Regions from separate parts of the Mus musculus genome. Here region 1 is reported to be linked to region 2. Evidence: microRNA targets listed by miRTarBase, many of them from high-throughput screens and not tested one by one. Region 2 holds a microRNA gene; the other region holds the end of a gene's coding sequence.
Evidence for each region. The annotated mature microRNA mmu-miR-466f-3p reads CAUACACACACACAUACACAC and lies in region 2 at 2,196-2,216, shown strand. An mRNA with a match to its seed (bases 2 to 7 or 8) in the 3' UTR can be bound and repressed. Matches are read on the target gene's strand: a 7mer-m8 pairs with bases 2 to 8, a 7mer-A1 pairs with bases 2 to 7 and ends in A, and an 8mer does both.

Region 1 (3,554 bases), not on the chromosome of region 2:
TTTTTTTTTTTTTTTTTTTTTTTTTTTTTTTACCACCAATGTGCTATGTTCACAATACTTGGGAATTACCACATACCATGTTATGGAAAAATATTTAATTCCACTTATTATAAGAAAATAAAACTGGCCTAATCTTCCAAAGAAATCAAAAGATTGAGTAGGTCCCTTGAAGGTGGGCATTGTGTGATCTGATTGCTTTAGAACCCAGCATTGAACATGGTTATGAGGTAAATAAATGGAATGGTACATACCTGCCAGGATAGTTTTCATAGAGTTCTCAGTCACTACCAGTCTACAGAATCAACTTCTGTAATACCATCACCACGTGAGGTAAAGGTTATCATTTTAGAAATGTAATTCACAATAAACTGATTCTTCTTGCTTTTGCTTTTGCTTTTTTACGATGTGCAAAACATACCAATTTAATGTTTCTTTTCTCAGATGGAGGCCAAAGTAAAGGGGACACTAAGTTACCACGGAAACCTCAGTGACTTTCCAGCAAGGGGGAGAGGAACCACTTGGCTGGCTGGCGGGACCGACCTGATGGGAAGTCTTGGCGGTCACAGGGCTGCTGTTTCTGTCCATGTTTACATGCTTGTCCCAAGCACTGTGGTGAGGAGGAAAAGAGAGAAAATGTTACTTGAGCAAAGCCAGTGCAGGAGGAAGAGATGCTTTTGTGCAAAGTCAGGGAGCTTTGGTCTTTTCAAACCCAAGCCCCCATGTTAACCAACTTAAAGCAGACTCAGCTGTCAAACCCACAGAAGTGTCAATCTGACTGTATTTAAAAAAAAAAAAAAAAAAAAAGGAAAGAAAAGAAAAGAAAAGGAAAAAAACTGGGGAAGAAGGAAGGAAGTTAAGAGGATTTGGGTAAATGGCCATCCATCCTGGGGGTTAGGTCTGAACACTCTACAGATAAGTGCATAATAAAAGCAGCTACAAGTAGAATTAGCCCAGTTTAAGGAGACTCAGTCATGTCTGTCTAGTAGACAGATTTTCCACAGTCAGTTGCATGAGGCTCTCCAGACAGTTGCCGAAGAGTACTGTGCCCTGAAATGTCCTGAGCAAACTTGAATCTTCTCCAGTATATAGCAGGTCCCCGTGCGAGTCAGTGGCCTGAAGATACTTTAGCAAAGCTGCTGTGACACAGTGATGTGTAGTACTATAGCTTCTAGGTTTTTAAAGTCAGGAAAAGGAGCCTGTGCTCTTACGAGACAAAATGTAGATAATCCCTTTTTATAAAAGGGTCAGTTTCACCCTCCATTCAGAAGTAAGTACTGCACTCCTTTCCACAGTTCACTTGTCATCTGGTATTGACTGGTTAATAGTTATTTCTCGTCCTGATATGCAGAAGTGACTGCTCGCATTTTCTCTTGACATGTGCGTCTTTGTTGTTGGGCTGCTGCTTTGCTGCTCATCTCTCTTGCAGCCTGCCAAGAACTGCAAACTCCCAGTTCCCTCCCTGCACAGTGCTCTTTCACTAGCGGTACTTTAGGTGACTAGAGCTGTTGATATAAACAGGAGTGTGCACAGCATCTGTCTCTTCATGGGTCAAACAAATAGCGTATGTATAATAGTGGACTGTTTTTCATTCTGAAGTGGTATTTTTAAAGGGATGAAGTCTAATAGGAATACGGATGTGCACAGGATGTGCACAAAGGACCACCTGTTATAACTATCACAATGAAGCTTTATGACCCATGCCCAGCGCAGGATGTTTTCAGCATTTGGGATCTTAAAAGTTTTACTATGACTTACTCAGAATATTAATATTCAAGTCAGCCTACAGATTATAAGATTCGTTAATTCTAGTTTTCATATGCGAATAGAGGCAATGAAGGGTGTGAAGGGGAAAACACAATTTTCTTGGGATACATTTTATTTTGCCTCAGCTATGTTTGTGGTGTCCTTGAATTTTAAACTTCTGAGTATTTTCAGACTATCCAAGAAAAAGCTCTGAGTGATACAAATTTAGTTTATATATGGTGACAGACTAGCCTGGTAATAACAAGATTGCTTCTATAATCTCATTACATATTACTCTGTATCATTTAAGTTTATTCAGATAAGAGTGTTAACCAGACCCCATTTTCCTTTGATGAGCAAAAGTCCCAAGAAGCCTCTAGGACTATAATAACCAACCGCAGACCTGCTCCAATTTTTATGCCTATAATTTGACTTCAAAGTTTCAATGGCGTGCTTAATAGCAAAAAAGTCAATGAATAATTGAAAGCTTTAGTTCCAAGAACTCGTTACAGTAAAGGAAGATGATTTTTTTTTTAGAAGAACATTGAAACTAGATATGATGGCCCATGCTTGTAATCCTAGAATTCAGGAAGCTGAGGCAGGAAGATCTCAGGTTTGAGGCCAGCCTGAAGTATTTAGCAGCAAGTCCCATGCTAGTCTCTACTGGACTAACAATGAGAGCTGTCTGTTTCCAACTGTCTTATTGTCTTTTAATGTTCAATTAATTAAAAATCTATTGGACTTCCATATCAGGTGTCCCTGACAGCAAGTTCTTCAATGTCACTTGCTGCCATATGAAAATAATCTTTAAAAAGTTCATAAAGTTCTTCAAAAAACTGGGGCCCCTTGCTCCAGGCTCCTTCGCGCCTCTTCTCCTTCCGGTTTGGTGCAGAATGGGTTGTGAGCTGTGTTTTTTTCTTTTTGTCCTCTTTTGTTACTAACATTTTTCTTTTTCTTTTTTTCCTTTTTCTTTTTTAAAATAAAAAGCATAGATTTCCCCTCCTTACCCCTCCTTTTACAATGGTCTCTTCTCCGCTCTAAGTCCTCCCACTTCCTAGTTCAAGTTTCATTTGTGCCCCGACTGCCCCCCTCCCTGCCCCATTGCATTGTTTGTGTGCGGCACCTGCAGTAGAAAATCCCAGCTCTCCAGGTCGGTCTGGGAGCTCCTCCACCCTCCTCCTGTCTCAAAAAAGAAAAAGAAAAAAAAAGAGAGAGAAAAGAAAAAAGGAAAACAAACGAAAGTAATCACTGATATAATTTCTTGACTGTAGAAATTTACTTTACCAATAAAACAAATGAGGAGGCTATGTAAGCCCCAGTAGATATTTTGGAAAGATATTGGGATGTTGCAGAGAAGTTTGACTTGAATTTAGCACGTTAAGGTTCATTTGAAAGGTCTCTTAGAGAAACTTGATCAGCTCTTACGCCAGCACCAGGAAACTTCGTTTCACAGGCCTGCTTATACTTCATAAATTGCTGTACTGGGGTGTCTGTTGAGGAAGGCAGCCTGTACTTCATTTTCTCTACCCAGAGAGAAGTCCATGTGTGTTAGTGTCTCTTCTTGCTGATACTTGTGTATTTGTGTATTTGCAGACACATACATATTCATATAAATCAATCGATATTAAAAGTCAAACAATAATTGTAGGTTCTTAAATCCATCGATTCTGAACCATGCTATACGAAGACCCTTGATGGTTCTCTTTCCCATGTCATTTTATAAGATTACCCTGGGCTCTGAGACTATGCTGTGTAAAATATATCCTGTTTTCTGTCAGTCTTGACTCCTTAAGGACTGCTGCCAGATCCCC
Region 2 (3,000 bases):
GAGACATCTCACTCACTAAGTAAAAACGCTTGCCAGAGTCAGGAGAATAAAGAGTTCAAATTCATAATTAACTTCATGAAGATTTAGAAATCATCCTGGGATTTATGTGATGGCCCCTATGTATGTGCCTGTGTGTGTTCTTGTGTGTGCATGTGCATGTGTGTATATGAATATACATATACATACACACATACACACGCACGTACACACACACAAACACACACATACAGGAATGGCACTTATCAATCCATTTGAATGGTATGTGACTTAGAGTTTTAGAGATTATGCAATAGGGGACAGTGAATGTTCTCACTCACCAGGTGTAAACGATTGACAGAGTCAGGAGGATCAGAAGTTCAAATTCATGCTTACCTTCAGTTAGAGATCATCCTGGTATTCATATGTATGTGCATGTGTGTTTACGTGTGTGTGCATGTGCATGTGTGTATATGAATATACATACACATACACACACACATACACACACATGCAACACACACATATGAATGACACTCACTGATCACTTTTAATGATATGTGACTTATAGTTTTAGAGATTATACAGTACTGGGCCAGTGAATGGTCTCACTCAGAAGGTGAAAATGCTTGCCAGAATCAGGAGAATCAGGAATTCAAATTCATGCTCAACTTCCTGAGAATTTAGAGATTAGTCTGTGATTCATGTGATGCCCCCCATGTATGTGCCTGTGTGTATAGTTGTGTGTGCATGTGCATGTGTGTATATGAATATACATATACATACACACACACGTATAAACGCAAGCACAAACACACACAGAGGAATGGCACTCGTTGATCCATTTGAATGATATGTGACTTAGAGCTTTAGAGATTATGTAGTATTGGGCCACTGAAACTTTTCATTCACCAGGGAAGGCTTGCCAGAGCATCAGTATCCAGAGTTCAAAATCATGCTTAACTTCATAATGAGTTAAAGATCAGCCTGGGATTCATGGGCTGTACCCTATATATGGGCAGGTGTGTGTCTTGTGTGTGCATGTTCATTTGTGTATATGAATATGAATATACACACACTTACACACTCATGCACACACACACACATCCATTTGAATGATATGTGTCTTAGAGCTTGAGAGTTTAGGCAGGACAGTGCCAGGGAGAGATCTCACTCACCAGGTAACAATGTTTGCCATACTCAGGAGGATTAGGAGATGAAATTCATGCTTAATTTCATGATGAGTTAGACATCAGCCTAGAATTCATGGGATGTCCCCCATGAATGTATGTGCATGTGTATATAGTTTTGTGTGCATGTGCATGTGTGTCTATTAATGTACATATACATACACACAAACATATACACGCATGCGCAGATACAGACACAGAAATGGCTTTCATCGATCCATTTGTATAATATGTAAATTTACTGGGCCAGTGAGACATCTCACTCACCAGGCAAAAACATTTCTCACAGTCAGGAGAATCAGGAGTTCAAATTCATAATAACTTCATGATGAGTTAGAGATCAGCCTTGTGTTAATGTGATGACCCCTATGTATGTGCATGTGTGTATATTTATGTGTGCATGAAAATGTATGTATATATGAATATACATATACATACATACCCACACAAACATGCACACACACACAAACACACCCACAATTGCCACTTACCAATCCATGTGAATGATATGCAACCTAGAGGTTAGAGATTGAGTATTCCTTTGCCCAAAAGAGCTCTCTCTCTCTCACCAGGTGAAAATGCTTGCAGAGTAAGGAAGAACAGCAGTAAAAATTTATGCTTAATTTCATGATGAGTTAGAGATCAGCCCGGGATTTGTGTGTTGCTTGCTCTATATGTGTGTATACTTGTGTGTGCATGTATATGTGTGTATATGAATATACATATACATACACACCCATATACACACGCATGCATGCACACACACAAATACATATACACAGGAATGGCACTCATCGATCCATTTGAATGATATGTGACTTAGAGTCTTATAGATTATGCAGTAGTGTGTCAATGAACGGTCTCACTCACCAGGTGAAAATGGTTGACAGAGTCAGGAGGATCAGGAGTTCAAATTCATGATTAACTTCAGTTAGAGATCATCCTGGCATTCATGTGATGCCACCCATGTATGTGAATGTGTGTTTACGTGTGTGTGCATGTGCATGTGTGTATATGAATATATGTATACATACACACACACATACACACTCATGTAACACACACACACACACACACACGAATGGCACTCATTTATCCATTTGAATGATATGTGACGTAGAACTATAGAGATTATGTAGTACTGGGCCAGTGAGTGCTCTCACTTTCTAGTTGAAAATGCTTGCCAGAATCAGGAGAATCAGGAGTTCAAATTCATGCTTACATTCATGAGGATTTAGAGATCAAACTGTGAATCATGTTTTGCCCCCCATGTTTGTGCATGTGCGTATAGTTGTGTGTGCATGTATATGTGTGTATATGAATATACATATACATACACACCCATATATACACGCATTCATATGAACACATCAACACACACGCAGGAATGGTATTCATCGATTTATTTTATTGATATGTGATTTAGAGCTTTAGAAATTATGTAGTACTGGGCCAATGAAACTTTTTACTCACCAGATATAAACGATTGGTATAGTCAGAAAGATCTGGAGTTCAAATTCATGCTTAACTTCATAATGAGTTAGAGATCAGCCTGGTATTCCTGGGATGTACCCCGTGTATGTGCATGGGTGTATAGTTTTGTGTGCATTTGCCTGTTTGTATATGAATATACATATCCATACATACAATCATATACAGGCACACAAAGACACACAGACATGAATGGCACTCAGTGATTCATTTGAATGATATGTCACCTCAAGTTTTGGAGGTTATGCAGTACTTGGCCTGAGAGGGGTCTCAGTCAGCAGGTGATAATGTTTACCAGAGTCAGTAGGCCCAGGGCCTGGCAAACGCAGAAGTGGATGCTCAC

Region 1: miRTarBase lists Ubn2 as a target of mmu-miR-466f-3p. Seed matches in the 3' UTR shown: 7mer-m8 at 3,316-3,322 and 7mer-m8 at 3,324-3,330.

What each region holds. Positions count from the first base shown.
Region 1 is chr6:38,501,797-38,505,350 of GRCm38, forward strand. It overlaps Ubn2 (ubinuclein 2), which reads left to right. Exons shown (of 17, transcript NM_177185.4): 17 at 442-3,554. The coding sequence ends at 491. Among named protein-coding and RNA genes, the nearest start is that of Mir7670, 3.8 kb to the right of the region's middle.
Region 2 is chr2:10,466,534-10,469,533 of GRCm38, forward strand. It overlaps Mir466f-2 (microRNA 466f-2), which reads left to right and starts at 2,142; the gene lies at 2,142-2,235. All of the region lies in intron 10 of Sfmbt2 (Scm-like with four mbt domains 2), which reads left to right. It overlaps Mir466m (microRNA 466m), which reads left to right and starts at 130; the gene lies at 130-213. It overlaps Mir466f-1 (microRNA 466f-1), which reads left to right and starts at 411; the gene lies at 411-504. It also overlaps Mir669f, Mir669e, Mir669b, Mir669d and Mir669l.